Caenorhabditis elegans: one gene and its partner. The protein of the gene in region 2 interacts with the protein of the main gene of each other region in a pairwise test. Each region holds a gene or a part of one and is shown on either strand. Other genes may lie near its edges. The genes, in order: Y73F8A.5 and idpb-2.

Region 1 (4,894 bases), on a different chromosome or scaffold from region 2:
CCCGGGGGACAGGCGGTGCATTGTCTAGTAAAAGCCAATCCAAGAACATCAATTCGATCGATATGAATTGGTTGATTAGATGCTTGATACCCCATATTATTCTGTATAATCCATGAAATTACATTGGCTCCACTCTTCAACTCAATCCTCCGTTTCCGCCAGTCCCCGTTCTTCTCCTCCTCATCTTTTTCTTTTTTCGTATACTTCAAAAACATTGACTTGGCAACGTCATTGTAACTCTGACATTGCTCATTTCGAATGTCAACTTGCATGGAAAGTGCTCGGTTGTTACGGGGCATTCTGAAAGTTTTTTGGATTCACAAAGAAAAAGTATCACTTCTTATCACTTTTATATTTTTTGGTTGGCTTTTATGAAGAAAGTGAAACATGAGTTGATATTTCGTAAAATCAAAATTTTACGAAAAAATATTTTCATGGGCGTTGCCGAGTTTTTTTTTTGCCAAACAGCAAAATTTTTAACTGTTTCACATTTTGAATTTAATCCAAACGTATATGCTCTCTATTGCGGCTTCTCCTTTCATGAGCAAAATCGAAATCCCTCTCACCTATATGTAAACTCCACGGATCCAGGTCGAACAAGATTCGCGGAAAACGAGAGTTTTGACACACACGGTGTTGGAATGTAGATCAGCTCACCGTCCTTGACAACCCAACCGGCTCTGCAAAAATTCAAATGTTTCAGGTTGTAGAGAAATTTTAAAGAAAAAATAAATTTATTCGATAGGTTGTTTGATGAGGCGCCCGTTAGCTGTCTGCTGCACAACAAATGTCAAAAACTCACTCTTTAGGACACTCGACCACCTGGCTCTGTCGATTTGAAAACTGTGCATCTGGATTTGAATCCATATTGTCTACTGAAAACCCACTGGGCAGAGTTACGAATTCCTCGTATCTGATTCCACCGCCAAGACTGAAAAATCCAGGATTGCACGGTCGGCAATGTTGACTGTCCAAATCGAGATAGTGCCCCGGCTCACAGGAAAATGCTGGAACAAATTTTAATATCATTCGTGCTTTCGTAACAACTAGTAACCCCAAAACTCACAGCAATTCAACCCTCTCCTCGGAGTCGGTAAATTGGAGCATTGCATTCCGCCACGTGGCACCGCAACTCTCCACCGTTCTCCATTTTCATCACAGTTTGTGTACGTGAACTCGTAATCTTGATCTGTGCAAATTTGTTGAGAAGCTATCAAGGAGATAAATGATGAAATGATGAGGAGAATTGTGATATGAAACCTGAAATTTTTTTTTGGTATTTAGTGCCGCTTACTAACTGTTAAACTGCTAAACAAGAAAAAAACTGACATTTATGTATTTTGTGAAACAGTAAAAACTTTGTTTGTTTCAAAATATCTAGATTTTCTTTTCATGTGCATACTTTGTTCCATAGTTTTTGACCATGCTTAAAATAACAGAAATTATGAAAAAAAGCTCAAACACCCCTTTTTTCTCATCAAAAAAAATAAAAAAATCCGAGTAGATCTACTTTTCCAATAAGAGCGAGGTTGCTCTTTTGTCAACAAATGAAAAATGCACTTTTTGTGGTTTCTGCTTCAAAAATAATAAGACCTGATTTTTATTTAAAAAATTTTGGGATTAGAGCTCTCTCAATTATTGAAATGTTTAAAAATGTGAACTTCTGTTTTTCACAACTTTACAAAAAAATATTTCTGTTTCACAATGTGCATATAATTAAGAAAAGACTTTTATTAACAATTCTTAGTACATAGTAGGTGAACATACTAAATACCATTCGTATATGTATTGAATTTGATGCCTTTTTTCGACGAATTATATTTTCAAAAACCCAACATTTTTGTAAAATTGACTAATTTTTTTCAATTTTGGCTGGAAAAATTTGAAAAAATTTTTCAATTTCTTGTGAATTGCAGTCGTTTTGTGACAAAAAATTTTGATCTTTTCGAATTATTCTCCTCAAAAATTGCTTTTTTTTTGTATAATTTCAAACAAAAAATATTGGCATATTTTCTGAAACAACTGTTTCAATATGTTAATAAAACTTTTACATATTTTTTGACATTTAATGATCTGTTCTTTTCATTTCAAAATTTTCCGGAAACTTTTAGATCGACTGTTCCGCAGATTTCACAATGGTCATATAGTTTGTAGGAAAATAAATGATTTTTGGATGGTATGTGGTTTTTTCTAGTTACTGAACATACATTTTTTTCTAATTTTTTTTTTTCAGAAGACAACCAATTTTTAAGAGCTTTCATAGAAACTAGATATGTTTATTAAACTACTATGTTTCCAAAACAAATAAATCTGTTTAAAAAAACTTTGTTCTGAAATTTTTTCTGTTTCATGTTGAAGGTGAAAATTACATTTTTGAGCAATAAGTGGTTACGTTCGTTTTTTTTAACTTGTCGAAAAATATAAGATGTTGCATTTTCAGGAAAGCCACATATTTTTGAAAATGAGCATATTAGTGATGTTATTTAATTACTGGTTTTTTTTAGAACAAAAACATTGAAAAGTGCCAAAAACTATTTCTATGGTAAAAATCCATATTTAACCACACAAACTAAAATGCCACTCAAAAAAACAAAAACGTGTTTTAAATTATTTTTTTTCTGTTTCAATTTAAAAGTATAGTTGTTCGTAATCAAATTTTATTCGTTAGGGTTGATGAGTTAAGTTTTTTCAAAACAAAAAAAAGTTCAAATTTTATCTGTTTCATGTTGAAAGTATAGCTGTCCATTTATTTTTTAAATAATATTGTTTTCGAACGCAATTCTTGTTTATGTAGTTAATAATAAGAATTGTTCTCGAACTTTCGTGCGCATTTTTAGTGCTAATCATGGTGATATAATTTTGTAAAATTTGAAATATAATTTTCAGTTTTTCGTTAAACATTTTTATTGTACACATTCTCTAATATTTCCTTGAGCTTTTCTTCAAAAAAAATTATTTCAAAAATTCTCTGTTTCATTTTGAAAGTATATCTCTTCGTGTTTTTTGAGATTTCAGTTTTCGCGTGTTTAGGTTAAAATCAAAAAAAATCTTACCAAAGCATAATGATATCAGCGCTCAAATCGGCTTAGCAAGATAAGAGATCAGTAGAAAAATAACGGCAGAAATAGTATATTTTGAATATTTCTATCGGATTCGATTCCACATTTTTCAATTTGGAAGACCAGTAGTCGATTTTAATTATCCGAAAAACGAAAAAGCCGCTTTTAGAAGAGAATATAGACAGGGAGAAGCTCTGTGTTGAAAAATATAGAGATGAGGAGGTTTAGAGAAACAGAAGACGTGCTCTTTTCTCTGCGCCTCTCTGTCCCCCTCTGCTCCATCACACGCCTTCAGCATCTCCTCTTCTCCCACAGAATATCGATATTGGATGTCGTGAGGCGGAAAGGGAAGGAGACACGAGGAGAATGCAAATGCATTTTGGATTATTTAAAGGCAGATGGGTGTTCATTTTGAGAAAGATGTATTGGATTGATTAAGAGGATAGTGAAACCGGCGATTTTGTTTTCTCAAAAAATTAAATGACCTTGAATGTAAATTAAATGCATAAATTGGGGGACATGAAGCACACGGCGAGAGAATAATAATTAATACTTTATTCACAAAATAAATGAACTACGTGAAACAGTAAAAAATTTTCGCTAATTTTCAAATAGTTTTTTGAACGTTAATTGCACTTTAGTTAGAGACAGAGACCGGTCGATTCAATTTTTTTTTCTAAAAATTGCCGAATTTGCCGAGCTCGACAAATTTTGAGATTTGCCGGACACCCCTGATTCCTTCTACTCTTTTTTGACACAACATGTAAAAACACGTTTTTTTTATGCCAAACATGAAACAGTGCCCTAAAATGTAATTTTTTCCAGCATACAACAATTACCTTGGGTTTTTGATAAGTACTGCACTGCGCCATATTATAGAAAAAATACGATCGCACAAAAATAAACGCAACGCAACGACACTCCGTTGTTTTTAAGCCGCATTTCAGTGCAAATGAAATTGTGGGCGGAAAAAAAATTTTGCAAAAATGAATGCAAAATTGTACAAATTTGAAAAAAAAAGCTGAAAATGAAACATTCGACTGATAAAATTGTTTTAAAGTTTTTTTTTAGTATAGGAAAAATATAATTATTTTGTCAGTTCTGTGTTCCCTTTGAGAAGGATGTATTGGATATTAAGAGGATAGTGAAACCGGCGATCTTGTTTTCTCAAAAAATTAAATGACCTTGAATGTAAATTACATGCATAAACATGACGAATTGGTAATAATAATTAATACTTTATTCTGAAATAAATAAGCAACGCGAAACAGTGGAAAATTTTCGCTGATTTTCAAATCGTTTTTTTTTGAAAATTAATTTCACTTCAGTTGGACTGAAATAAAAACCGGTTGTTCAACATTTTTTCAAAAACTTGAGAAAAAAAACAAGTTTCTGCCCGAAGTATCAAGAAAATGACAATTTTTAGAATATTTCGAAATTTGTAACTTTTGTTTTTAATATTATTTGAAGATGCAGTAAAATTGTTTGAGGATTTAACTTTAAATGACCGAAAAAAGTATCTTTAAAAAATTGTGAAGTTATTCCAACATTTTCTATGTTAGACAAAAATTGAAAAATGTTAGGCGAAAATTGAAGAAAGTGCAATGAATTTAACCGGACAACACAAAAAATGCCAAAACTGGGCCATTAGATTGCGCGGGAATTTGAAAATAATCATTTAATTTTTGCAAAGTTGGAAAAAATCTCAAAAGCTTCATTGAAGTGAAAATCCAATTTTTTCATTAAAAAACCTAAAAGTCATGCAACCTCAGTAATTATGAATGTCGTGAGCTATTTCGATGACTTTGCGTGAAATGTGTTGTTTCACTGGTGCA
Region 2 (3,499 bases):
CTTTTGTAATATCAGCTGTCGTCAACCGATTGATACAATGATAACACTGAAGTTGTTGAGAAAAACAAAGAAGCGGCAAAAAGCAGGTCAAAAGAAGTGGTAATCGCATAATATTATCGGATGAGCATGAGCACAGAAGCAGCTTTTCGTTGGAGGATTAGATGGTGGCCACACATGCGATTATGTTGCGTGTTAGGGTGTATATATGTGGGGAGGGGGAGCAGTGAGCATAAAGAGAAGGAGGAGACAGAGCAGTTTTTACTGGAGCACAAGGATGGAGTTGTCATGGTAACCAGAAGCTAGTGTTTCAATGGGAAAGAAATGGGCGAGACTCTGGGAATGAAGAATGAGTGTTGCGACATTATTTCTAAATGGGACTAGGAATTAAAAATTGATGATTCTTGAACCGAAATTGAAAATAGAAACCTAATGTAAAATAGGGGAAAAGGGAAATATGCCATTTCTTCCAATGTAGAATAATTTTACCACACAAGCTCCCGGTTACTTTCAGGTTCTCTAGAATGAGACGAGTTATTGAAAAGTTAGTAACAAGTTTAAGCTTCTCAGATCAATCAAGAAAATTTCACTACTACAAGCAACAATTTCTGATGAGTTTTCTGATCTAATTCTGAGGATTTTTCAGCGTTTCTCAAACCAGGCATACTTTGGGGGCCGGTAAATTCCAAGGCTTTGTATGGACAACAACGTTGTTGAACTTTGTCTCTACTCGTTTTTTATCTAATTCTATGTATATAACATTTTTTTGGTATTTGCGTTAATCAAGAGAGAATCAACTATTTATTTCTCTGAAGTGAGAATCACAGAATTCAAATTAAATTAATTAAATTAGTTTAACAAACGCATCGCTCAGTTGATCACGTCTTTCTTCTCTTCAACCGTAGCATCATTGACAGGAGCCAATGCGTTCATAACTGAAGCTTCTACAGCGGATCCCTTCACGACTTTGGCGATTCCTTCGATTTTGTTAGCCAAAGCAATACGGAGATTCTGAAGAGAACGACGTTTACGTCCTCCACCTCCGCATCCACAACATCCACATCCACATCCACATCCACAACAACATGGACGGCAGCAAGTACAACATCTTGTACAACAGCAAGTACGGCAACATGTACAGCAACGGCGGCAACAGCAGCAGCATCTGAAAATTTTAAATTTTAAATTACAACGGCAGATGTGCCTAAAAGATACTGTTCTTTTAAGAAAGATGTTGCTACACTAAAATTTGAACTAAAATTTGCTACATCATTCTGAAAATGCTGAAGATGCAGACGAGTCTGAAAACGTAACGACAAAGTTTAAAACTTTGAGATTTAAAGGATTAAAGATCTTTCAAATAGTGAATGTAACATTTCTGGAATTATCAATTAAAAAAGTAGAAGTGTCGAATTCTGAACTTACTTTGGTCTACAACAGCAACATCCGCATCCTCCTCCACCTCCTCCACCACATCCGCAGCATCCGCATCCGCATCCACAGCAACCACATCCTCCTTGTCTTTTAACTCTGGATGATCCTAATGTATCAATTGATGTTTCAGATGATGAAGTGGTTGAAGCAGATGATGTTATTAATGCTACTTCTTTTGAGGACACTGGTAGTACTGCTGATTGAACCTGCAAGGATCTTCGAATTCTACACAAGTCCCCTGAAACGTTGATACCTGAGAAATTGCGATTATTGCCAGAATGGCGAAGGTGGAGCAGACGAGCTTGTTCATGTTAAGTTCGAGTGTATCATTGAACCATTCATGCTTTCTTTTATATCACTCAAATATTTACGTAAGTATGCCTGCGGTTGCGCGGTGCGTAGTGCATTTGACACTTTTCCGGAAGCAAAACTCAACCCTTCCGTATACCCTCGAGAAATCGCGTTGGACTTTGAGGTTTATGGTACAATCACAGAAAAAAAGAAGAGGTAATCGTAATAAGATAGATAGAGAAACGGAAAATTGAGATAATATAATAAATTAATGAATGACTGGAGTAGCTTGATGAGTTGATAGATGACTCTGTAGATCGTTTTTTCGTGCAAAGCTAGCATCACACCGATGGCAGGCATATGGTCGAGTATGAGTTCTGACATGAGCATTCAGAGCCTGAAAGAGCATAGACTTGAATAGACTTGAAGGGTGTTTTTGGCTTGAAAAATCAATATTAATGAAACCAATAATTCTCAAACATTTATAACGTTTGGTAATCTAGTGGCAATCTAGAGCTGCATCTTCAAGTTAAAAGAGTTCAAAGGTTCCTTTGAATCTTGCTACGTTTTTTGAAAGGTTTTTACCACTGATACAAAATCTCGTCTCGACACGTCCGATGGATGACGGAGTACTGTAGCTCCTATGTAAACGAACGGAAAACATTGAAACAACAATGAAGAAATGTGGACTACAGTACTCCATAAATCTAATTTTTTTAAATTTTAAATTCGAGCGCGTGGTCCTGCCTTCAATAAAAAGATTGAAATGACCACCTTTGTGCACTTGTATCCTGGATGAGTGCAATTCTCTACGGGACATTTATGCATCATCTGCATATGAACCATCTGAACATGCCTCCGAAGTCCACCTCGCCTTCCAAATTGTGTGTGACAGTACACACATTTCCAAACCCTCTGGTCTTGGGGACTGAAACGCCAGAGTATACATTTATAAACACAAAAGTTATAGCTAACAAATTAAATTCTTCAAAAATAGGCAAACCTGTGATAAATTGCCTTGTGCTCACAAAGCTGAAATGGGGTCCGCTCGTCGCTGTTGCATTCATCGCAAATGTACTGAAATATGAAGGAACTGATGGTGTTCAGGAAAAGAACATGATAGATACAATTGAAAAAAAGGTTCTCAAAGTAATTGCTAACAGAAGAATATACCAAAAAATGATAGAACAGGAGAAAGAGAGATAAGCTTCCGCTTACTGTTCCGCCAGCGGGGAGCAATCCATCGTATGTTGGAAACCTGACAGATGACCGTTGAGCTTTTGTGTAGACCTTCAATATATTTTTCATGAACATACACTGATAAAATATGTGTAAAACAATTGACTATTGGGATTACTGTAAGTTTGTAGTCTTTTGTTGAAAGTTTTCAATTTCAATAAATGTTTGTGAGTCTAATATTTAAATATAATATATCTTATTAAATTGAAATATTTACAAGAGCTAAACTCAGAGTAATCGATGGAAAAAGTATTACATACAATACTAATAGGGGATATACAATATCTTAGAACTGTCAGGAAAATTAGATTAATATTCATATATAGAATAGCTCATATCAAAACCTATCAGTTACCTTTTCTGATTGTTGATTGTTGTTCTCCACTTTGGAAGTGAAATCTGGTTTGTCCGATAAACAAATCTGAGCCATGAGAAGACTCTTGCGAACTTTGATTCTTTGAATACTCTGTTCAAGGTTTGAAGATTTCTTTCCAAAATCTATTTTGGGACTGCCAAATGACATAGTTGAGGTCATACC

Evidence for each region.
Region 1: the proteins of idpb-2 (region 2) and Y73F8A.5 interact in a two-hybrid assay, tested with the Caenorhabditis elegans proteins (one large-scale study listed by BioGRID).

What each region holds. Positions count from the first base shown.
Region 1 is NC_003282.8:15,258,223-15,263,116, reverse strand, and holds the start of Y73F8A.5 (uncharacterized protein), read right to left. Parts: upstream 3,250-4,894; 5' UTR 3,062-3,249; coding exon 3,054-3,061; intron 3,037-3,053; exon of another isoform or gene 3,016-3,036; intron 2,789-3,015; exon of another isoform or gene 2,762-2,788; intron 2,687-2,761; exon of another isoform or gene 2,662-2,686; intron 2,410-2,661; exon of another isoform or gene 2,389-2,409; intron 2,091-2,388; exon of another isoform or gene 2,070-2,090; intron 1,762-2,069; exon of another isoform or gene 1,741-1,761; intron 1,306-1,740; exon of another isoform or gene 1,284-1,305; intron 1,261-1,283; coding exon 1,067-1,260; intron 1,008-1,066; coding exon 803-1,007; intron 764-802; exon of another isoform or gene 738-763; intron 681-737; coding exon 567-680; intron 549-566; exon of another isoform or gene 525-548; intron 344-524; exon of another isoform or gene 323-343; intron 301-322; coding exon 1-300.
Region 2 is NC_003280.10:5,067,868-5,071,366, forward strand, and holds idpb-2 (Intrinsically Disordered Protein, class B), read right to left. Parts: upstream 1,759-3,499; 5' UTR 1,742-1,758; coding exon 1,685-1,741; exon of another isoform or gene 1,638-1,684; coding exon 1,423-1,637; intron 1,163-1,422; coding exon 868-1,162; 3' UTR 781-867; downstream 1-780. Other genes in the region: C27A2.8 (Protein sleepless), read right to left, coding at 1-109; C27A2.7 (C2H2-type domain-containing protein), read right to left, coding at 1,991-2,119, 2,497-2,650, 2,726-2,799, 2,941-3,012, 3,317-3,496.